Linked DNA regions of Oreochromis niloticus. The protein of the gene in region 1 purifies or fractionates together with the protein of each later gene. This does not show direct contact. Links are inferred from orthologs where the notes say so. Each region holds a gene or a part of one and is shown in the gene's direction. Other genes may lie near its edges.

Evidence for each region. The genes of interacting proteins can lie anywhere in the genome.
Region 2: the proteins of wdr5 (region 1) and l3mbtl2 purify together in Homo sapiens (affinity purification with mass spectrometry; 4 studies listed by BioGRID and IntAct, counting the BioPlex papers as one, with this or other methods). This does not show direct contact. The link is inferred for Oreochromis niloticus from reciprocal best matches to the Homo sapiens genes WDR5 and L3MBTL2.
Region 3: the proteins of wdr5 (region 1) and taf7 purify together in Homo sapiens (affinity purification with western blotting; 3 studies listed by BioGRID and IntAct, with this or other methods). This does not show direct contact. The link is inferred for Oreochromis niloticus from reciprocal best matches to the Homo sapiens genes WDR5 and TAF7.

What each region holds. Positions count from the first base shown.
Region 1 is NC_031972.2:29,231,146-29,239,204, reverse strand, and holds the start of wdr5 (WD repeat-containing protein 5), read left to right. Parts: upstream 1-4,967; 5' UTR 4,968-5,156; intron 5,157-6,741; 5' UTR 6,742-6,773; coding exon 6,774-6,851; intron 6,852-7,032; coding exon 7,033-7,141; intron 7,142-7,296; coding exon 7,297-7,370; intron 7,371-7,597; coding exon 7,598-7,687; intron 7,688-8,059. Other genes in the region: bromodomain-containing protein 3, read right to left, coding at 1-15, 1,098-1,292.
Region 2 is NC_031973.2:22,452,485-22,461,068, forward strand, and holds the start of l3mbtl2 (lethal(3)malignant brain tumor-like protein 2), read left to right. Parts: upstream 1-5,196; 5' UTR 5,197-5,586; intron 5,587-5,592; exon of another isoform or gene 5,593-5,723; intron 5,724-6,646; 5' UTR 6,647-6,719; coding exon 6,720-7,070; intron 7,071-7,155; coding exon 7,156-7,261; intron 7,262-7,343; coding exon 7,344-7,477; intron 7,478-8,584. UniProt on the Homo sapiens protein: Putative Polycomb group (PcG) protein. PcG proteins maintain the transcriptionally repressive state of genes, probably via a modification of chromatin, rendering it heritably changed in its expressibility.
Region 3 is NC_031966.2:19,243,233-19,251,583, reverse strand, and holds the start of taf7 (transcription initiation factor TFIID subunit 7), read left to right. Parts: upstream 1-4,963; 5' UTR 4,964-5,134; coding exon 5,135-5,153; intron 5,154-6,463; coding exon 6,464-6,540; intron 6,541-6,635; coding exon 6,636-6,714; intron 6,715-6,934; coding exon 6,935-7,068; intron 7,069-7,249; coding exon 7,250-7,370; intron 7,371-7,513; coding exon 7,514-7,572; intron 7,573-8,050; coding exon 8,051-8,123; intron 8,124-8,351. Other genes in the region: slc9a6a (sodium/hydrogen exchanger 6a), read right to left, coding at 375-487, 730-806, 1,021-1,098, 2,287-2,486, 3,727-4,018. UniProt on the Homo sapiens protein: The TFIID basal transcription factor complex plays a major role in the initiation of RNA polymerase II (Pol II)-dependent transcription.

The sequences.
Region 1 (8,059 bases):
TATTTTATGATAGTCCTGGTTAAGAGAAAGAGTTGATGTCAGATGAATATAGCATTACATTTTGCACTGCCCCACACTGAGGCTCTGCCAAAGTTTGATTAATGGAGAACAATTACACTGCACAATTTCCAGTTTATTCATTTTGGATCTTAATTTAATTAATCTTTTTCTATAAAACTTGATATTAACTAAATGTTAATTACTTTATTAAGACAGAGTCAAACGGCATCATTCAAACTACTTAATAGTATTTGGAACTTAAGGCAAAAATGGAGGTGGCTAGATCGCGACCACATTAAAATCACCAAGATTAGCGTTTTTGCACTGTCTGAAGTGAGTCAGATAATCGGGCTGGAATTAACATCAATATATGATTTTTTTTTAATTGTTTGCATTTTTAGATTCAGCACTAAATTGGGTAAACAAATTAGTTTCACTTCATACACATTCTTGCTGATGTATTAAAATTTAGGATCAAGGACATGTCGGCAGGTTTGAGTCATTTCTTACTGAAGTATGGCTAAAACTAGGATAAGATGCAAGACAGAGTTACACTGCATTCCATTATCTCTATACTCACTGTGGTATGTGGGTTGTGCGTGAGAATTAGGAACAAAAATAAAAGGGAGGAAAAACAAAAAAATATCTTAGACAACATTAATATTAACAGTGAGAGAATAACAAAACGAAAAGAAGATCTAGTAGTTTCAGAAAAGAAGAACAGACAGAGCCAGCAGCACAAAGCAAGTTAGCGTATCTGAAAACTACAAAAAATATATCTATATATACCTAGGGGAAAAAACTGCTGGCAGCTACCAGTAAATGTATATTTAACAACAATGGCTAAATAGATCATATAACAGTATGATCATGCCCAGTTAACATCACTTTTGCATAAAGAACGGGGACATTGTGGAATTAAAAAATAAAAAATATTTTCATTATGAGCAAAACTATGACTTACTTGTGCAACTAACTGAAGAAAAGCCCTGCAATCCTGAGGCTGAAGTCATTTTTGTACCATGACTTGTGAAAAACCCATAAAAATGACTTGATGCACTGTAACCCTGTCAGCTGAACATGTGCAAACTACTCACTGGCAGTCCAAGAGCAACTGCATCGACAGGCTGGTAAAAAGGCCAGGCGAACTGGTGCCGCCACAGGGATTTGATCACTATGTTCTGCATATACTGCAGCTGGTTGGTCCTCCGGCCTGGCTTGTTGGGATTGGTCACCTCGGGAGGTGGGGGATTAACAAGCTGAGGAGGGTCCTGGTTGGTGTCTGCGGACATGGTGGCTGCACGAATTCTTCTGGGTTCTGTTATCTTCTGTAAGTCATGTAGTGTTCACCTGACAGCTTGTCACACACTGTGAAAACTATGCATGACGCAGGCTGGGGAATCGTCAAACCACACAATGTGGCCTGCTGACATAAAAGAATAGACTGTTATGATCATGTGGTTCTCCAAATATCAAATATAAAACTCTAAAAAGAGGAAGCGACTGATTACTTCACACCATTGATATAGTTTCAAAAACAGACTATATCTCATATCTTTTGAAGCTTATCACATTCATTTTATTATTATGTAAAACAATCTGATTAGTAATTAATGCACATGACTGTATAAAGGCTCTTTTCCTTGCATGCTGAAAGGAGGCAGTTGAGGCATTTCAGGCATCTAGTTAGAAAGGCTCCTGGGCATACCTAACTGGGAGGAGACCCTGGGGTAGACCCAGAACCTGCTGGAGAGATTATACATCTCATCTGACCTGGGAATGCCTTGGGACCCCCATGGGGAACTGGAAAGAGTGGCTGGGGAGAAGGATGTCTGAATACTGCAACCCGGCTTCAGATAAGCAGAAGACACGGAGGGTGTATAAAGGTTTAGTGGGCATGTGAACTGAGCAATGTTTTCTTGGCAAATACACTGACAAAATTTAAGAGGCTGTTTCACTGATGGTGTTGGAATCAGCTATGTTTATTTAGCTGTCTAGCAATCTGCCTGCAATTATTCTAATTTTAATATTTAGAGAAGGTGGAGAGATGGAGGTATGCATCGGATAGAAGAGGAATCAAAGTTAGTACAAGGATGCATGTGACAGTGAGGGTCAACCATTAAAAGCAAAGGACAGTGCACGAGAGAGGTGAAGAAGAAAGTGAAGATGGGGGAAGTGAGTGGAGACGAGTGTCACGGGTGATTTGTGACAGGAGGATAGCAGCAAAAGTGAAAGCGAAGGTTTAGAGGATGGGAGTGAGACGGGATATGAAGTATGGTTTGGAGCACTAACAAAAAGGCGGGAGGTCGAGCTGGAGGCGTTAAAGGTGAAGATCTAAGATTGTCATTAGGACTGACTAGAATGGACAAGATTAAAAATGAGTACATGAAAGGGTCAGCTTAGACTGAGGTTGCTACAAAGGATGATAAAGATGGAGCTGCTAGGTATGAAGAAAAGAGAAAGACAAAGGAAGAGATTCTTAGATGTAGTGAAGGAGAACATGGAGAGTGTTAGTGTGACAGAGGAGGGTGCTACGGATAGGGTGAAATGAAGGGAGATGACCCATTGTGGGGCCCCCTAAAGGGAGCAGCAGAAAGGAGCAGGTGATTTCGATTTTTTCTTATTTCAATTTTATTTGCAGTTCTAATGCATTTCAATTAATTTTGAGAGAGGCTTTGTTCATTTCAGTTTAGTTTTTAAATAGCTTACAAAACTTTATTTTTCAAATATTATTATATTTTGTTGGCCTAAGTTAACACATTATATTTCAAGACATATTATTGTGAACGCATCCTTTTCTCAATAAATAAAACCAAACTGGGGAAGACTAAATACATTTCATGTATTTAACTTCAAGTTTTAGTGAGGTGATATTACTTTTTATCCATTTTAACATTTAAATCTATTTTTCCTTTATTCCAGATCAAATGTTTCTTTAAATCTAATTTTATTTCGTTTGCTCATTTTACTAAACATCGCCACTGGAGAAGGCAGTAAGAGTTTGCATGATCTCAGACGCGGTATAAATCTCAACCCTAGCTCATGTAATATCATACCATTAAATACAAGTCAACTAATATAATGCTAACTTAACGGAGTAAGAAGGAAGAATTGGATTGTCAAGTTTTAAATGAGCACGACAGAGTTAAATAATCAGGAGGCCAGCTCTTGGGAAACCTAACCAGTCACGTTCAGCACGTTAGCTTCACTTGGCTAGCAGGTTAAGGTAAACCTATATGGGCGCATGGCCAATATAAGTCTTCACTGCAAATGAGCAATAAAAAACCCACCACAGTATCTTGTGCAGTGCCTACTGGGGTTTGTTTATTACAGTTGGGCCTTGCTCTGCCGCGGTTAACTTACCACTTACAAAGTTTTTATAGGGACGCCAGTCGCTGTTACCTGAACGCTCGCAATTACCTTCAGATAACGGCAACACATACATGTACCACATAACTTGTTTCGCAGAGGATGACGGGAGAGTCACGAGTGTTTACCAACACGTTTTTTCTTCTTATGAAGGTACTTTGAAATGATAGTTTCTATTTAAGACCGTTCACACCGCACCGAAGGCCAAACAGAGTAAAAAGTCGAGATACGGTAACTCCTGGCTGCGCTTAGACCAGCTGAAAACTTCCACACAAACCTGCTGCGGGCATGGCTTCAAGTAACAAGCTCCCCTTCGTCGAAGGCTTCTGTGACCAATTTTTTAGCCAAAGTTAACAGCGTATACCGCCGCCTGCTGTGTCGGAGGGTGTCGAGAATAAACCCAAAATGACCGAAAGTGTAATGATCCCAAGAGAGAAGAGCATTGATTTTCTTCTTCTTCTTCTTCTTCTTCCGGCTGCTCCCTTTAGGTGTCGCCACAGTGGATCATCAGCCTCCACCTAACCCTGCGTCTAGCTTCCTCCTCTGCCACACCAACCCTGCATGTCCTCCTTCACTACATCCATTAGCCTCTTCTGAGGTCTTCGTCTTTTCCTCCAGCTTGGCAACTCCATCTCCAACATCCTTTGTCCAGTATATCCACTACCCCTTCTCTACACACTGTTCAACTGTCTTCAAGCTGATCAACCTTGCTCTCAGGTACTCATTTCTAATCTTGTTCATTCTGGTAATTCACAATGAAAATCTCAGCATCTTCACATCTGCCATATCCGGCTCAACCTCCTGTCTTCTTATGAGCGCCGCCATCTCCAAACCATACATCATAGCAGGTCTCATTATGATCTTCTAAACCTTCCCTTTGACTTGTGCTGCTATCCTGATCCCACCATTGCCTGCACACTCCTCTTCACTTGTGCACTGATTTAAACTACCATTTAAACTCATCCACCTTCACTACCTTTATTCTTTGGATTTTCAATGTTACATGTGTTTCCTTCTCATTCACACATATTTAATATGTCTTGCTTCAAACGGACTTAAATGCTCATACAAATTTCCCACGTGTGGGACTAATAAAGGTTATCTTATCTTATCTTATCTTATACCTACACCTTTCCGGACTCTTTTCCACCTGCTCTATACTCTCTCTACAGCATAGTCCACAGAGATTCCCGCCTGATCTCATCAGTCAACCTGTCCATTACCACTGCAAATAAGAAGTGGTTTTGGAGCCAATCCCTGATATAATCCCACCCCTCCTTCAAATCCATCTGTCACTCCTATTGCACACCACACCACTGTCTTGTTGTCCTCCTAGATGTCCTCCACCACCTTAACATATTTCTTTGCCACATTTCATCTCTTGTACCCAATCATATGCCCCATATTCTCTAGAAACAATGGAACTCCTCCTGACCTTCTCTAAACGTCTTTATCAACAGTTGTTTAATACTGTTTTATAAAAATGGAAGATATAATAATGAATGACATGCAAAACTCTCTGTTTAATGGATTGTGGCAGTATGCGCGTAAACACGTTGGTTTGCGTCCCGTCGTGAAAACCAAAGAAGAAGAAGAGCGTAACACGCATGCGCAAAGCCACAGCACACCACATTCCCCGCTTCTCTTTCCCTACAGGCAATCATCCAAGAGCAAGTCACTTGCTGTATACGTTCTCCATGATCGTCTGAATACACATACATGGTGTTTTTTTACCCTTTCGTGTGTTTACGAGGAGTAACAATCTGACCGTGAAGCTCCATTAATCTGTGAGTATCGTCTTTATGACTGAATCCTCATTGTGTGAATGGAGGGCCCCTCCATGGCACCTCAGCCAGTTTGTCAACAGCACCAGTGCATTTCGAGCAGCGGCGGCTGCATCATCAAATACCCTTTAGCGTTTATATAAAACCACCAGTTTTAACGTGGCGTTATGATTGACGGTTAAACATCTGAATAGTGATATAACAGCGTAGCTAGCTGTCGTTCAAATACGATCATAGTCAAGAGTTGAATTTTTCCAGCCAAGGGAGTCCGTATCGCCCTTTGTTTGATATTCTCTTTTCTCGCACGTTTGTTCCATTTAAACGCGAATTCATGTTAATATATTGCAAACAGATGCCATCTAGTCTTAGCTGAATGCATATGCGTTTCTGTTTGGTGGTTTTAAGTAGCCACAACGAAGTAATGCAACGCTAGCTAGCTTAAGCTAGCTTAAATGGCTAAACTTGGAGCTAAATGAGAAAGCAGCAACACGAACAAGAAAAAATAGCTGCAGCCGGTACCAACTGGGTTAAATGCGGCGTTTAGCAAAAACTGCAGCTCATATGAGGGACATAAAACTAAAAGGAAACATCGTGAGCTAAACTGCTGTTAATGTAAAGTTAATGTACCAAGGTGGTTTCGTATATACTTTGTGCATTTTTGGCGTTATGCAATATATATCATTGTTGTCATGTGAGATGGAGAAAGAGGTTTGCCCTTTCATTGGATTTTAATACCACTATCAGACTAAATGTCGACTATATTCAGTCTAAAATTCGTTTCAACTTGACTGTCAAGGAATGTTGCAGTTAATGCAGGGATATATATATATCTATATCTATATATATATATGTGTGTATGTATGTATGTATGTATTTATAGGTCTACATTGACTAACTTTAATATCAGGATTTTAGAGACTAGAAAAAAATTGCATAGTCATCGTGTAAATAAATAAATAAACACAAACTAGAAAATTTCTGAAGAAATTTTGAGTGTGCCAGTGTATCTGCTGCTTGAAAACCTATCAGAAACTAAGAATAGCTTTTTCGAAGATGTAAGATTTATTGGGTGCATAAAATAGTTGATTTGAAAAAAGTTCAATGAAAAAACAGCTAGAAACATGTGTTGAATGGTCATTTTAATAGCGAACGAATTGTATTGTATAATGTGTCTTATTTTATTTTAGGCATAAACATTGACAGGCATTTACACAGTAGTAGTTATAAATCAAGTTAATGACGCAGTAGTGAAGTTTATAAATACAATCTTTTCTTTTATCACTTCAAAAAGTGGCTTTAGTATTTTTGAGTTTTTGTTTTGAAAGGGAAGTTTAATTTGGCTAAACTTATTTTAAACTAGTTGTTTGTCAGTCACCAAGTGTCTGAGCGTGAAAGAGACAGTTTGAAAAATGTAATCATATTATCCAGGCTGTCAGTGATATTGTTCATGCAAACCTCTTGAAAGGTTACTGAGGCTCGCTGTTATATGTGTTCATTGGTATTTATAACTGATATACTGATCATCACCAGTGGCATAAAGAATGTCTTCTTGTATTTATTTCAATATTTATTTTTTCCTCTGCTTTAGGATAGTACACAGTAAATGCTAATTTCCTCACCATGGCAACTGAAGACAAGAAACCAGAGACTGACACAAAACCTCCAGTAGCGCCGTCAGCATCTGCCAGCCAAAGCAAGGTTTGAATTTTTGGAGTATCACTATTCTGTTCCAGCTGTAGCCTTTTAGGGCCAAGAAATAGCCATAGTTGGGATTCATAAGAGAATGTATTTTGTTTAATATAGACTTAGATGAATGTTAGTGTATTTGTCACATCTCAGCCAAGAGTTGTTAAATGTCGTATTTCTTTTTCACTTACAGTCGGCACCTGCAAAGCCAAACTACAGCCTGAAGTTCACATTAGCGGGCCACACCAAAGCTGTGTCCTCTGTCAAATTCAGTCCGAGTGGAGAATGGCTCGCCAGCTCATGTGAGTAAAAATCACTGCTGGAAATACCAATTTTTTTTCACAACTTAATAATTATCAATAAATTATTGCAGCTTCTTGTTGAGTTTTAAGATTGATGATGTGTTTTGTTTTGTTTTTTTACCTATGCTGAGTGCGTATTCATTCTGTCTCTACAGCTGCTGATAAACTGATCAAAATCTGGGGCGCGTATGACGGCAAGTTTGAGAAAACCATATCTGGACACAAACTTGTGAGTTTGACTAATTCTCAGCTATACTCCTGCCGTGTTAATGGTTTTGTTTTTTATTGGCTGGACTTACGTAGAGCAACTGTAGCATCCTTGATGTTTAGTCAATTGGGATCAGATGTTTGGAGTCGTTACTAAGAGCCAAGCCATGGTTCCATTAGTTCTTACATTGGCCCCATGCTAGCTGTTCTCAGAGCTTCAAGTCCTGATCAGTTCCCATGAATCTGCAGGGTATATCTGATGTGGCCTGGTCCTCTGACTCCAACCTCCTGGTATCTGCATCAGATGACAAAACCCTGAAGATTTGGGACGTTAGCTCGGTAAGATGGGAGATTATTTAAATGATTCTGCTGAAATGTGTGATATAATACTGAACTCTGTTTGCTGCGCATACATTTTAGCAAGCTGCACAGGTATATTACCATCATAGAATATTTGACCAACAGTTTTGGTTATTTTTATTTTAGTTATCCAGGAGTAGGGAGTCTAGTGATGTTATCTGGCATGGGATCTTCTTTCTAGAAGAATTATAAAGATAAATAAGAAAAAGCATGATTGGCTGTGGCACATTTATGAGCATGATTTTGGATGAGTGATTGGCAGGTATCAGCGTGGCGATTGAAGAGTAGTGGCACTAACTACAACTATTAGGTTAGTTCATGTAAGTAATTGATTGTCATTTTTTTATATAA
Region 2 (8,584 bases), on another chromosome or scaffold:
TGCCCCCAGGCATTATGTTTGACACTCCTGCTCTGTACATTAAGCTTAAGCTTAATCTTAATCTTGAGACACATAGGCTTTGGATGCTCAGTACCCACAGGATCAGCATGGAACTACCAAGGAGACACTGACTTCTATAGGCTGGGGCTGCGCAGCACGCACTGGCTACTGTGGCTATGGCTGTGCAAAATGGGCCAGCTGGCACTGTTTCTAAGGAGTTCCCAGGTAGAGCAACAGTCTCTTGGGAAGCTAGCACAGAAAACACAGGGAGCCCGGGGAAAAACAGTAAGTTGGAGAGACCCCAGATAGAGTATACTCTGGAGGGTCATGGTGTTGACCGTTCTGGGCACTGAGGCCTAACCAGAGGCCTTAACCCTTGGAGATGGGACAGGGTTGGGCCTGTTGTCATGGGACCCAGGAGGACAAGCAGGCAGTGCCTGACATCGTAGGTTTTGTAGTGTAGTGATCAATGTCAATCTGGTCAATGTCAATCTGGTCAGGCAGGATGACTCTGGTTGCACAGAGTGGTGGTGACTAGGGTGCTACAGTGATAAGGAGGAAGGGCATTAGCAAGGACCATGCTTCCCTTTTGAAGAGCTAGAGGAAGTGGGCTCTGGAAAACATGTGGCAGCCATTGTAGCAAGTGGCTGATTACCTGGTTGTGCAGCAAGCCTACAACCAGCTAGCAGGAAGGACCAAAGTTAAGGAGGAACTAGGAAGGTGTGGTACACCTTTACTGGTGAGGCCCATGCTCAGGGGTGAGCTATGGCTTCAGATCAATAGTCCCCTTTAAAAAGGAAAGAGCCGCTTGCTGCTGTCCAAAGGCTTTATTTTGTTGGTTGTGGCATTCAGTTATAATCTACATTGAAGACTCAAATGCAGGTAGAAATAATTACAAAAATTAAAAGTAACAATACCCAACTATGGCAACCAAATAGAACATCAAATAACAAGATTCAAGACTAACAGATAAGGGTTAACAGGGTCCCCTCTCTATCCAGGCCTGCCGGAAGGGCTTGTCAATGAGCTAAGGATGAACAAGACACATGAACCAGTCTTAAACATCAGTTGATGAAATTTTTTTATTTATAATATGTTTAGAAACAGTAGTTAACATAGGATGGATCTTTAAATCTCTTAGATGAAAACAAACAAACAAAAAAAAAAAACAGCAGCCTCAGGGAGTAGAAAAGCTCCAGGAAGGTTTGGCTTTGAAACCAAAACCTTCTTCCTGTGAGGCAACTCCTCTAACCACTGCACCATCATGCTGGTGCAATAGACTGTCCAATGAAACTTGTGATAATGCATTGAAGGCTTTCTAAACTAAAGAAGAGTAATTCTCCAAAAGTTGAATCTGTTCATCTGGACGTAGCGTTTTGTGGGAGAAACGTTTCTCCCACAAAACGCTACGTCCAGATGAACAGATTCAACTTTTGGAGATTTACTTTCCTGGATGATTGAGAATGCATCAAGACATAAATAAGAGTAACATTTTCTTTTTCAATCTTACTAAGCATAGATAGTTTCATAATGTTATGCCTTGAAGAAACAGTGTAAAGATGTACTTTTTAAACCTGAAGCCTTTATATGCTTTATACACTTTATGCTTTATATATCACTCAGCTGGTCATCTACTAATTGGAAGGTTGGTGAGTCGATCCCTGGCTGCTCCAATCTCCAGCCTGCATACCTAGATATTCTCGGGCAAGATACTGAACCCAAAGGTGCTCTGTAATTCGTTCATCACAGCATGAATGTGTGTGAATGCTAGCTAGAAAGCACTTAGGTGCAAAAAAAAAAAGTGCTGGAGTGAATGAGGCATGTATAAAGCACTTAGAGTGCTATATAAGGACCAAGCCATTTACCATCTTTTTGTACCTCAAAAAGGTGCACATAATTATGAAAAAGAATAATAAGAAAAAGGGTAAAAACTACTGCATTTATTCCATATTCAGGAAGTAGTTTTTACCTTACCTTTAGGGTCCAGTAATGACTAGTGTGTAGAGATTGCACACACTAAGAAAGAAATGCACTTTTACTACACCTGCGATTTCTCAGAGTGTGGGTAACAGTAAGGCAGATGTTCTGATAGCTGAAATGTTCTTCTGCAATTCCAGAATGTGCCATTTTAAGTTTGTTCAGGTATGTTTCATGAATCAGAATCATAGTCATCTTTGTTTCTTTGCTATGTGGCCATGCAAAGAAAAAAAAGTTCTTTTAAAATATGCAGTATACATATATGATAGGTAAAAAGTAAGAAAAAGCAAGATACGGAATGTAGTCAGTATGTTCAGCTATTAAAAATAGTTTAGTTTGAGATCTGTGGTTTGCCTATTTGCTAAAAACCCCCCCAAAGCAAAACGACAACAACAAAAATCTCATGAATATTCTCTAAGTGTGGTCATTTGATCATTTTTCATATTACTGCAAAACTAGTGGCATCACCATCTGTTAATGTTAGCTAGATTACACATTTAATTACCTACATTTTCTTTGGGATTAAAAGATTATAATATTGCACGTTTGTTAAGAAGCAAAACAGCAGGCACTACAGTACGTTAAAGTACCAAGTCTTAGCGGCAATTTGAGTACACTTACATTAGTGCACGAAAACTTGATTAGATCTTGTTTAATATTCTGTAGAAAAGTCAAAGTCCAAAATTTTCCTCCAATTACATTCAGTTGTTATCAAGTATAAACAAATTGTTCATTAGCCCGATCAGGTCACAGGGTCACCAAATTCACTGGTCCTATTTTAGATGTAGCTTCCAAACCATCCTGTTCCACAATAAAACCGTCAACACATTTTAAAGGACACACTTGCATTGTGTCCTTTAAGAAGAATTCTCTCCAGTTTCCTTACATACCGATCACAAAGCTCAAGAAAGCTCCCTAAAACTTTTCAGATATTGCTCATAACTCCTTGTGTTTGTTCTTTTGAGTAGAAGGTGTGGCATCATTTGTCTAATCCAGAGTGTAACATTCAGTCTTTGTGCATTTAGTCATTTTATTGTGGTTAGATTCTGCAAGACTTACATAGATGTTCGCATTTACCAGTTACAGTGTGTTAATCTGAGGTGTGAATTCACTGTTTCAGTTGCAACACAATTTCCAGTCTTCTGCTGCAATGTCCGTTTCTAAATCTTTGCTCCAAGTATTTAGATTTTATTCTGACATGATGTCTTTTCTCAAACACTCCTTTGTAAAATAGTACATTTTCATAGGACTCTGTGAAAAACTAAGTGCGTCTCATGATTCAGCAACTTGTAAAACCACCTTTAGCAGCAATAACGTGAAATGCACACTTTCTGTATGACTTTGTCAGTTTCTCACATTGTTACAGAATAATTTTGGCTCACTCTTCTCTCACTTGCTCTCTTAAGGTGCAACATTTCAGGCTGAAGTCTGGCCTTTGACTTGTTCACTCCAATACTCTGATACTTGTTGTAGATTTGCTGGAGTGCTTGGGATCATTGTAATGTTACATGACTCGATTTGAGCCAAGCCAAGCTAGCTGTCGCACAGATGGCCTCATGTTTGACTCTAGAATACTTTGGTACATTGAGGAGTTCATGGTTGAGGTGCCCAGGTCCTGGTGGGTACAAAACAAGCCTAAATCATCACCCCACATTTGACAGCTGGTGTGAGGTGTTTGTGCTGATATGCTGAGATTCATTTTGGTCAAATGTGGTTCTGTGCATTATGACCAAATATCTCCACTTTGGTCTTGTCTGTTCAAAAGACATTGTCCCAGGTCTGTGATTTGGTCAGATGCAACTTTGCAAACCTAAGCCTTGCTTCTATGTTACTTTTAGAGAGTAGGCAACCCTTCCAAAGAAGCCATACACAGTCATCTTCAGGCTTTTTCTAATTGTACTGCGACAAACTTTATAGTTTAGCATGCTACATGCTAAATTATAGCATGCTGGAGGCTGAGATGTAGCTCTTAGGATTTTTTGCAGTTTCTCTTTTTTTGCTGGGACATCCACTTCCGAGAAGACTCTAGCATGGTGTTAATACTCACCTGAATGATCCAGACTAGCGAACTACCAAAACCTCATCTTACGGATGATCAATTAATCAAGTAGCAAACCTGACTGCTACTTATCCTGTTCATTTCTGTATTAGCAATAGCGGTATACTTAGTTTTTCACAGGACTGCATACAGTCCTAAGCAAATTTTATTTTCTTTAACATGACTTTGCTTTAATGTGGTTTAACAAAACTTCTCAGCTGTCAAAATTATAAGTAAATACAAGTGAATTAATATAATTTTTAATTTTAAATATTTCCAAGCCTCCCAAAACTTAAATCTATCATCAGTGTCAGAGCAGCTGTACCTGTGACTGCCAAAATATCTTGTTCATCAAGACATCCCTAACTGAATACATTTGATGAACACAGTGTCTAGATTAAGAAACAAAACATTATATATTTGGTTTCGTTTGTGTGTTTATTATGATTGAAGTAAATGTGTGTCACCCTCTTCTTCCTCCATACTTCCTTTTGGGAACCACACTTGTGAATATCATCACTTCAGCAGCTACTGCCAAATCACATTCAAATGGTTCAAAATTCAATTCCTCTGAGTTTTATTTTTCTTATTGATTTAGTTTAGCAGTGGTTCCTTTTGGGGCAGTCACCACGAGGAATGATTCTTCAGGGGCTTCTCCAAAAAGCTGATGATGAGATGTTTCAGCTCTGAGAAGCACAGATGGATCCTCTATTCTAAGGTGCTTTCTCTTTAGTTAGTTAAGCAGTTCTTGCAAAAATATGACTAAGTACAGTAGCCAAAAAATACTTTTTGCTGTCTATCAGCACTACTTAGGAGCAACACAACTCAAAGTCAAGAAATTTCACCAGTCAACCTTTAAGCTGTTATGTCCCACCAATACTGACTCAACACAAAATCAAGGCTGACACCAGATTTTTTCAGAAACACATGGTTTTTTGGTTGTTTTGGTTTTAAATCATTATACATTCAAAGGTGAAACTTGCAAGCAGGAGAGTATTACAGCATCCAGCGTGAAGTCTGCCTTCATCCACACCTTGTCAGGTGATGCAGATAACTAGCAATTAAGCCCGGGCAACGCCCAAAGTCTACTACACTGCCACTGCAAAGCCAGTAGGGTTGCAAGGGAGCATAACAAATCTCACATGTTACGAGAAAAAAAAAAATGACTGCCTCATAGAGGTATTGCCATTTGTTGTCAGCGCTGAACCCAGCAGCGGTTGCTTTAAATATTCTAAATTACAAAACATATTTTACTTAATCTGAAGTTTGTATATTTCGCCTCATCACTGGTTATGTTTATTTATTTTTCCACACTGTGCAAAATCTTAAGATTAACTATTGAATAGCAAGGTGTCCGCAAACTTCTTTTTCATAGACCGATTTCTTGCAGACCACTAAAACATCTACTCTACTGCCATTACTCCAATTAGTAACATTTTATTTTAACGATTATCGAGTGAAACCAGCGTACAAACACCCGAATGCCTCTAAAATGACTTATTTGTGACCAGGATAGCGACTTTTTTCCAATTTTCGTGAAAACATCAACTCCCAGAATTCCTTGCCCACGCGTAAGTAAATGACGCTAAAATGTGAGCGACCACATTACAGTACCGGGCAACTATGAAGCTACATTAAAATTTGATACCCAAATCAGTTTGTACACCTAAGAGACATTTTACTGAGTGCCAGCATTCACTTACCTCCCGTAAGTACACATTTGAAGTCATGACGAGCAAAGTGCAGCTTCATAACTGCACACATGTACTTTTAGCATTGTTATCATTTAGCTTTGGTGTACAGTAGTTACACTGTATACGTTTTGACTCAACTTATGAAGCAGTCACCTGTAACCTTGCTTTAACGGCGATATTAGAAATAATAATAACATTGATGAAAGGACCGCCTTTTCAAGACAAACTTCTGTTTGTCATGTTTCACTGTCTTGTGTTTGTTAAACATTATGTCGACATTACAGATAAAATAAAATGCGAAGCTTCCTGTTATTTTAATGTAGGTTTTTCAATGCAGAAAATGCCCTAATCAGGCAAATAGAGCCAAGACACACTCTCCGGCCACTTTGTTAGGTACACCTTGCTAGTAGTGTGTTGGACCCTCTTTTGCCTTCAGAAGTGCCTTTATTCTTCATAACGCTGGAAACATTTATCAGAGATTTTGGTCCATATTGACATGATGGCGCCACACAGTTACTGCAGGTTTGTGACTACGGAGGCCATTTGAGTACAGTCATGTTCAAGAAACCAATTTAAGATGATTTGAGCTTTGTGACATGGTGTGTTATCCTGCTGGAAGCAGTGATCAGAAGATGTGTACACTGTTTTCAGTGAGGTGGAAATGGTCAGCAGCAATATTTAGGTAGGTTGTGCCATCTTAGCGATGCTCAGCATAGTTTGGTTGCAACGAGTTGTGCTTTTCTGTCAGGTTATAGCACTCTGGGAATTTTTCTTTGACCTCTGGGATCAGAGAGGAATTTTTACCTAGAGAACTGCTGCTCACTGGATATTTTGTCTTGTTTGGACCGTTCTCTGTAAACCCTAGAGATGGTTGTGTGTGAAAATTAGAAAACCAACTTCTGGTTGGAAGATACAGTTATTTCTTTTCTTTGCACAGCTCAGAGAACAAAACAGCACAACTGAGAAGAAGAAAGGATCCATGAAAGGTGGTCATGGTGTAAGCTCCGAGGATGCCTTACCACTGTGTGGCTTATGGATGTGGAAAAACTACTGAAGATGGTGTAACCCTGTTTAAATTCCCCAAGGACCCTGAAGAGTTTCGGAAATGGGAGAAGCAGGTCCAGCGCACCCGCATGCAGTGGGTTGCCACACCCAATTCTTACCTTTGCAATGAACATTTTGGCAAGGAGTACTTTGAACCCAGACTGGCATCGGGGCCTCTGAAGCTGAGGCCAGGAGCTGCTCCTACAGTGTTTGTCCGTCCGCACTGTCCTTCCTGCAATGGCGCGGGCTGCAGTAGCTGCCTGCCTTCTATCCAACACAGGACCATTACAGCTGAACCAAGCGAGCAAAGCATAAGTGTGAGTAGCACTTATTTTGGATCGTGGGTTGGGGGGTATTACACCTGCTGTTTACAGGTGGGATGTTTGTTTATTTCCTTCATAGGCTGGATACAATGAAATGGCACCCCTAGAGTGTGAAGATACTAATGAAAGAGGTAAAGAACGACATCTGACAGGAGGAGGGTTAAAGGCACTAAACGAGCGACCAGGTGAGGTGCACCTGCACTCTTAACAATGTTCATAATGTTTTACATTAAGAAAAAACTTTTTTGATTGCATTTTTTTCCACAGTGGTTTGTGAGATGTGTGGAACAACCGGGAATATCAACAACTTCTATTCAAAGACTAAGCGCTTCTGCAGTACATCCTGCTCTCGTTCCTATTCATCAAACTCTAAGAAGTCATCCATTCTAGCACGTCTGCAGGTGAGAAAGAGTTTGACTTTTTTAATATATTTATTTATGTATTTTTGAACACTGGGGAGCACCAGAGGAGCAGTTTGAATTAGCTGCCTTGCTTTATTCAATATTCCATCTGGGGAGTTTGACACAGTCAGTGTCACTGGATTGGGCAAAGAGATGTACTAGTTTTTCCATTCGTGAGTGTGTCGCTCAGCAGCTCAGACAGGTGTGGAATTGCTTTAATTTGTTTCAAAAACCATAGAATTATCTAAAATCCTGTAGTAAATGCATGAACGGCTTCAGCAGGCTTCTGTCTTGGACTTTGATTGCCACCAGCATGCTACTTTCATTGTCCAACAAATGTCACAAATCTTTGACTTATTGAAAATAACTAAAATCAATCGCAGAAAATTCACTCATTTTAAAAGCTGAAACTATGAAATGTTTATTTTTTTTACTGGGATTTTGGCTCTGTGTCTATCGTGGGGGAAATAGTTATCTGATCCCCTGCTGAATTTGTGAGTTTGTTCACTTCCAAAGAAATGAATGGTCACACCATCCCTGCAGTCAAGCATTGAAGTGGATTCGTTGTGCTCTGGGGCTGTTTTTCTGCAAGGAATACAGGGCAACTTCACCGCATTGAGTCAGCAATGGATGGGAGCATGTACCGTAAGCTCTTGAATGTGAACCTTCAGTCATACAGAACACTGAAAATAGGTTTTCCAGCATGACTGTGACCCAAAACCAGGGCAACAAAGGAGTGGTTAAAGAAGAAGCACATTAAGGCCATGGAGTTGCCTAGCAAGTCTTCAGACCTCAGTCCTGTAGGGAATCTGTGGAGGGAGCTGAAGCTTAGAATTACCAAGCAGCATCCAAGAAACCTAAAGGATTGAGAGAGTTTCTATAAGGAGGAGTGGTCCAACGTCTCTCCTGGGATGTGTGTAAGCCTGATGACCAACTACAAGAAACATCTTACCACTGTACCTGCCAAAAAGGGTTTCTCGACCAAATACAAAATTTTGTATTTTTTTTTTTAAACACGTCACGTATCAGAAAATCTAAATTATAAATGTAACTCATAAATAAAGCGGTCAGCTAAAGGTACAGTGTATTTGTCTGAAGCATTACAGC
Region 3 (8,351 bases), on another chromosome or scaffold:
CTTGGATTACATACATTTTTCACTTTAATTATTCATGGCTCAGTCTCAAGGTGCTGAACAAACATAAAAACATTCAGCTGAAAATGTTTGGGTATAAAGAAAATGAGTAAAAGAAAAGCAGTCAGCTCTAATTAAAAAAAAAAAAACTAACTAAAAAAATCTTTAAAAAAAACTTCAGCACAACTATTTGTCAAGAACATTTTAAAAGATTACTGGAAAATCTGACTCTTTGGGCACAAAATATGAATGCAGGGTGGTTGTGGAAAGGCCTTTGCACAGTACTTTAGTTAATATATGTAACAAAAAGTAGGATACATTATTTTTGGTTTGAGTTAGAAAAGAAAACTTTTAAATCTGAGAAAAATCATATGTACCTGGGTCTGTGGCAGAGACAATGGCCCCAAAAAACAGGCAATCAGTGAAGAAAAAGTCTCCACCCAGCTGGCCCACCTGCTTCATTAGCGTCACACAGCCATACATCAGCAACCTGATGGCAGAAGTGGAAGAGCAGGTGGTCTTGTCCATCATCATAAACAACAATAACTTTAAAGGCATTTAGGGACACCTTAACACTGACATATTCAAACACTGCTCTGCCATAAAGTGTCTGTTTTGTATATACATAGTTGCACAAGGGTTGTAAAATCACAAGGATGAATGGCTTTCATGTTTTTGGTTCTTTTTAATAATAAAATATTTTTTGTAATAATTGCAAATTAATTCTTTTACCCAATAATAAAACAGGAAATGACTGTCCCGAGAAAGGCGTAAGCCAGGATGGATCCCATGTTCCGAAAAAAATGTCTCTGAAAGACAGAAGAGTTACCAGATCAGCAATCAAATGCATACTTACTATAAAATAAATTATTCATCTTGATGAAACCCCTGCGGTCTATAAAGAGACTACAAATGGACTTTTAAAATTTCATAGTCAAAATATGATGTTATTTAATCAAGAGCCAAACACATACTGAAAATATGTATTTAATAAATGTTGACTTTTTATATGATATACTGTACCCTTTTTAAGCTGTAGCCAGCATGGAAGATGATAGGCGGTAGGAGAATATTGAAGAACACTTCAGGGTCAAAGGTCACCTGAGTTATACAAAACACAGAACAAAATTGCCGATCTGCATCAAAAGAAAATTAACAAGTTGTTTTCATTAATATTTCTTTCTATGCTGTTGCATTTATGGATCGACTGAAATATTAATTAATCAAAAATGACACATCTGGGGCATCATGACACAGCTTCCAGGACAATAAACAAAAACCTACTATAAAAGTAACATGGTATGTCACAGAAAGAGGACAGCTTCTAGCCACATACATATACACATACTAAGGCTAATGCCAATTTTAGATGCTAAATCTAGAGCAGTGCTACATTCAAATCAGTATGTGGTTTCAATCTCTGACAATGGATTAGATGTATTCATGTTTGGAAAACAATCCTAAATTGCTGAGCGTGAGATTATGACTTAAAAAAATGAAACTTGTTCAGCAGATTGTTTACTTGTTTGGTGGTTAGAATAGCATCAAGAATACTGCTTGTATGTAATTGTGCAGCTGTTTAACCGACAAAGTACAAAGTGACAAACACACCCCAGCACATGACAACTGTAAAACAACTACTTTTATGGTTTCTTTTACATTCTGTATCACCAATAAAGGCATTCTGCCAGTTATTTTAACAGAGCATTTCATGCCCTGTTTAGTCTTCAAACAGATTTGATCTAGATGTACAGCTATTCTTTTAAATTTGAAATAGCTACTTAATGTTGATAATAAATAATTAGTATTACAGAAAGAGAATCACAAATCATTCAGCTCACAAAAAACTAAAACCACCATTTAATCCCATTACAAATTAACCTGACTATGATTTCTCTCTTGCATTGGTTAGTTATGCTGTATTTAAAATATCAGAAGGGAAACATGTGGGGTAGCTGGTTTTGTCTGATCATCAGTGCTTGCAGATTTAAACATCTGCTATCATTTCAGTGTAAAATAACTGACAATTATGTCTTCGCTGATGATTAAATCATCTGATTGCTCCAGCTCAGGGGTGGGGAATTAATCTTCTCAAGGGGATACAGGAGAAACTGGGACTCTTGTGGAGGGCTGTACCAATAACTTATACAGAGATAAAATTAATACTGAGTTCAATTTACTGGCACTGTCCTCCACAACAGTCCCAGTTTCTCACATAGTCCCTTAGGAAAATAATTACCCATCTCTGTAACACAATTTCTTGTATGTAGACATCACGACTGAGTATACCTTGCGCAGCATCTCATTGTCCTGCACGTCGTTCACTTCATTGGCATTGATCTCCCCTTTCAATGTGTACTCGTAGAACTTGCCGCTTACATTGACCAGCAGAGTGGCAGGGCTGGCATTGACCTGGCAATTCAAGGTGATGTTGCTAACATCCCGAGGAACATGAATGCCATAACGCAAAATCACTCCAACAATTAAGCCTGGGGAAAAATTAATAAAAACGAAAGACAAAAAAAAAAAAAAAACAGTAGAGAGAGAAGAATTGATTAATACAGGATTTTTAATGGTTTATGGCATGTTGCCACAAAAACGGATGGTGAGTGCAGTTTTAGGCTACCTGACACTACAGATGGTCTAAAATGTTTCAGTGGAATTAATTTGTAGAAAAAAAAAATTAAACAAAGGTCTAGTCTGAACATCACAGACGTACCTAACAGCTTTGGATCTCAAATTAAAGTCTTAACACATCCATGTGAAAATAAATTACCCTATCAGATAGTGTACCAGCAAATTAGAATTTCAATTAGTTTAGATTAGATTAGACCATATTGTCTCCAGTGGGAGAAATTTGTCTTGGTCAACGGAGGGGAATATGTCACACAAAATAAACATCACAACATGTCTTTAAATATCTCATGGAGAGAAAATTGAGGAAGGATGACAACCATCTTTCCAGCTATTTTGATCAAATTTTGATTTGTGATCTGATCTTGACTTAAAATGCTCAGATCAAACATCTGTTACTATGGTAGTAATGCATGGTTTGGTAACCATGTAGTAGACAGTAATGTCACAGCTAAAATAATAGCATAATGTTATTATCCATCCTATGGAGCCTTCATAAAAACTAAAAGTGAGTGATTTGTGAATGTTTACACTCTAAAAGCTCTGCACAGCCAAACAGAAATTATTAATTATCTGCTAGATATGGTTCTACGATGATTCTACAATGGCACGACCACTTCCTCTTCTACGGGTTGGAAGAATTCTAACAATACTCCTGAAATTCAATATACAGAAGTGGAAGCAAAGTCCAGTTCCACACTCATGATTGGCACTTGTCCAAATAATCACTTGTGACTTGCACGAAAAAGCAAAAACAAAAACAAAACAAAAACAAGTTATTTAAGAACTAAAATTCAGTAGGATTCATAAGACAGTATTTGTCGAAATTGCTTAGGTGCTCAGATGTAATTTTTAAGACTAAGCAGTGTAAAAGAGGCGTTCACTGTCGTTAAATTACGCTTGCTCAATCACAACACAAACTGGCACAGTCCTGCTGCATAAATCTGTTAAAATTCGCCCAAATGAAGTATGTCATTAACAGGGGCGAACTTATCAAGCGTGGTGTTGACATTCATCTGTTTAAAATCTAACTATTAGGACACAATGAGTGTAACAGCTCGGATGACGTCTCTCTGTCACGATGGACCATCTTACCATAAATCATTGCCAGCCCGGTTTCGTGGAGAAACCTGAACCGCCGATGTTTGAACAACCATATTGTCAGGATGGTGAGGGTGAGGAGCAGGATAAAGATCAGCAGGTCAGCGCTGTCTTGTCTGTGGCTCTCCTCAGCCTTTTTCTCTGTAACGATGTTCTCCATGGCACTGTCCTCCTGAGGTGATGATGCTCGGCAAACACTGATGCAAACAGGCAGGCTTACTAGCACGAGCAGCCACAGCGTCCTTGTTGCCCTCCGGGCACTGCTGACAGTCACTTTAAACACCATTTCGACTTTCGGCGGCCAAATGCTGCAACGTCGCCGAAGGTAAAAATAAACTTGTGCAAATATTATTCATAAACTGAGGGGAGTGGGCAACAGAAAGACGACAGCAAAAGAGAAACCAATTCCGGCCCGGAAGGGAAAAGTAATTTTTCCAGAAAGTGTAATTTTATGTTTCAAATTAAAAGCACACCACCGTACCGTGGGTGGTTAAAATCAACGCCTGTGGAAAAATTTAATGCCGCAAAAAGAATAAACCTTCTAAATAAACAAAAATGTCTATCTGGCAGTTTTCTTGGCAGTTTGCTTCTTATTAGCGATGATAGTTTTCCCCGAAATCTTTTATTATGAAATATTTGACGATAGCCGTGCTTACCGGGAAGTGAGTCCAACAGTCCTTTAGGCTATCGATTTGTGTTGTATTGAAAATAAATAAATAAAAATAAACCAGATATAATAACGAACTTAACATTTATTTTAGGTTACGGTTTAATTCTTAATAGAATAAGTTTAAATAAAAAATAGACGCATATTTCCTGTGGTATTTCCTCATTCCTACTTCCTTCCTACTTTTCTTTTACCTACAGACCATTTAGCATAACGATACGAACATCAAATAATAATTTTAAATATTTATAGATACATTTAACTATATTGCATAAAGAATATTCGTTATTTTTTGTTTTTCAAAAGTACTTTTGACAAGTCTCGTGATACGGATGGTTGCGTGTGACGTTCCGATTTATCGGAATTTTTTATTTTACTGTCATGCACTGAAAAACAAACTAATTTGCACTGTTAGTCCTTATTTAATAACATGGCAGTACAAAATATGCATATATATATATTATAATTACTTAATTATTAACTAAAATATGCCTAAATTTGTAATTTAATGCTCAGACATACGAGTTGTACAGCCAAGGTACAGAAAATACAAATTTCCGAGGAGGTATTGAAAGTGGCAAAGCCCTATACAACACTCTTGTTTTCGCTCGTGATTATGCTATCACCGTGTAGCTAAGAAGTCTCGTTTTTTTTTACTTAGAGTTGTCATGTTTATGCGTGTTTGCCATTGAAAGATATCTATACAGCTGCACCATCTAAACTTGAAAAACGACGATGACATCTAAACTGAAAGGTACGTTAAAATCCTCTGCCCTTATCCTTATGCTAAAGATAACTAGCTGTTAGCCTCTTAGCCTCCACTTTTGTAAGGTAAAGAAACATTTTTAGTTGTCGGTTATTAAGATGAAGCTGATAGTAACAATAATGGTGATGATGTAACAGAACATGTTGTCTGTGGCATATTTTAACAACTGTGTTCGCAAATTAGCGTTTGTCGTTCCTGTCTTTTGAACATTATGTATAATCTCCTATAGTGTTACTGGTCCACAGTGTGGTAGACATCACTAATGTAAAATGCACAAGTAACCTTTATTAGCAATAATTATCGGTGTTTTACTTTTGATGTAAAGACATTCGTGATAGAATTTGAAAAGAGATTCATAGTACATTTGGTAGGAACGTTGGTTATTTTTTCGTTCATTTATTCATTCATAGTATAATATAATAAACTAAATGTTATATTGAACTAACAATAACATTTGTTGGTTTGCATATACGCACTGTGAGAAATAAAAATGGTTTGGCTATTTACATTTTTAGCTTATTACATTGTAAGTTCCTTTTTTGTCAGCACTGAAATAAACTTTACTGTTGTAGGTACTTAAGATATTAATTAGTGTTTATATATTTCTAGTGTTGCTGCCCAGTGAAAACCTCATACCTTTAAAGACAATTTTCCACAAGTTTAAAAAAAAAAGCAAAACAAAGAACACTCAAAGTAAAATATTGCATATAAAATCACCAAACTTGGAGGTTTCTTTCCACAGGAAGAACATGAAAGACTATAAAGTGATCAGTAATTAAAGCTGTCAAACAATGTGGTGGAGTGTAGTGTTTGCCCCTGAAATATAATGTAGTAGAATTTTAAAGTTGCACAAAGAGCCCAGCTAAGGTACCAAAAATGCTTTAAATGGTCCACAGACCAGTCCATCTAGCAGATGATTCAGTTGAACTGAATTTATAATATAATATAATAAAATATAATACAGAGAAAGCCACAGCAATCAAACGAAATGCAATGAGTAAGCATTCAGTGGGAAAGGCAAAGGAAAAACTCCTTTTTAACAGGAAGAAACCTCCAGCAGAACCAGGCTTCAGGAGTGGCATCCATCTGACACTGTGAAAAAAGACACTGTGGAAGAGAGCCAGAGATTAATATATTAGACACTATATTACTTCTTACTTCAAAATAGGAAAAAATGAGTACCTAATGTACTGTATATTTTAATGTTAAAGTAGAATGACAAACTTTGTAGTTTGTCATCATATAGCAAGCAAGACATATTTTAACGCTTTCATTATGGTGATGTGTTTTGATTTTAGTTGGGAAGGTCGGTTCCAAGAGTAAGGAGGATGCCCCTTATGAGTTGGAGAGCCAGTTTGTCCTTAGGCTTCCTTCGGTGAGACGTTTGCACTTGCAGAAATTCATTGTTTGATGGAAATTCAGTTTTATCACCATACATATGATCTGGCTTCATTTTTCTTTCTTTTGCAGGAGTATGCCTCAACAGTAAGAAGGATTGCACAGTCTAGCAGTATGAACATGAAGGACAGACTCACCATTGAGTTGCACCGTAAGCTGCTCACAATCTTGGCACTGGTTTAATGTGTCTCACACTGTCTCCCTGTCTTGTTATTTATTTACAGTTGGGTCCAGAATTTTGAACATTGTACATATTTCTATAGCAGTTTCATTCTTTTTGTTATTTAAATGTAACAAGCATACTAATGGAACTAGTTAAAGAAATGTCACCCACATGTCCCTTAACAGTTATTTGTCCCTCTAATTTGTAGCTGATGGTCGTCATGGCATAGTTAGAGTAGACCGTGTTCCTTTGGCCTGCAAACTGGTTGATCTGCCCTGCATGATTGAGTCACTCAAAACGGTGGATAAGAAGACGTTTTACAAGACTGCAGATGTCTGCCAGGTAAGCAAGAGACTGGAAATAAATTTTTACAGTTTTCCATTATTTCATTGGTTTAAAATAAAAGTACATTTTGGATTTTAGATACATGTTATGTAAATTTATTTTCCACAGTTGTAGTGTAGTTGCAGTGCAGATTAATCAGCATAATATTTTGCATTCATTTTTCCCATCCACGGGTTAGATGCTCGTGTGTACACTAGATGGAGACCTTTACCCCCCTTTGGAAGAGCCAACTGGCACTGACCCTAAGACCAAAAAGAAGGATAAAGACAAGGACAAGAAATTTGTTTGGAATCACGGCAGTAAGTAATTATATACACACAGCAGCTTTTTGACTTGTTTATATTGAAAACTTGGCATATCAGCAGTTCAGGAAACATAATGTCCCCTCCTTGGGTAATAGACTGATTTTTGGCTTCACTAATCCCATTGTTTTGCTCTTTAGTCACCTGCCCTCTGAAGAACACGCGCAAGAGGAGATTTCGGAAGACTGCGAAAAAAAAGGTTCTGACATTTTTCATTTTCCCTACAGCAGTCCCCTCCCATGTCCCATCCATCTCCTTAGCATCTCGTTTGATGATCCATCTTTTTCCTAGGCTCTCTTCCAACAAGACATTTACATTTCATAAAACAGGAACTGTGGTAAAAGTGAAAACTAAGATTTACATATAAATAAAGCCTTTCCATCTTAGTTTTCCCCAAAGGCATGCAAAAAAGCTATTTCACTATTGCTTTGATCAAAGTGAAAGCGAGTGGAGCTGGAGCACTACACTTCTACTTTGTCTTCTGAATAAATCTTCCTGAAGGTGCAGAGCTGAGCCATATTGATTTGGCCCCTTCTGTTTTTAATCGCTAATGTACTTCCTGGCATGTGGCCAGCTGCTACCTTGGTGTGTGTGTGTGGGTAAGATAGAGACTGAGGAGGACGGCAAGAGAGATGCTGCTAATACTACAAGTAACTCGATCTCTCTGTCTTTTGCAGTACATTGAATCTCCTGATGTGGAAAAGGAAGTGAAGAGATTGCTGAGCACAGATGCTGAGGCTGTCAGCGTCCGTATCCTTTTTGACACCTAAACATTCTGCACGTCCATCCTAGGACAATAGTAATGGTGTATATAAACCATCAAAACAATAGTGTGTATTACATCTTTAAAAGTACTTCAGTAAGGCAGAATCAGCTGGCCATTACTTGTAACATGAAATTTACTCAGTTTTTCAGAAGCATCACATAATTAGCACTCTTTGTCTTTTAGGTCAAACATAATCTCTGTCTAATTTACCT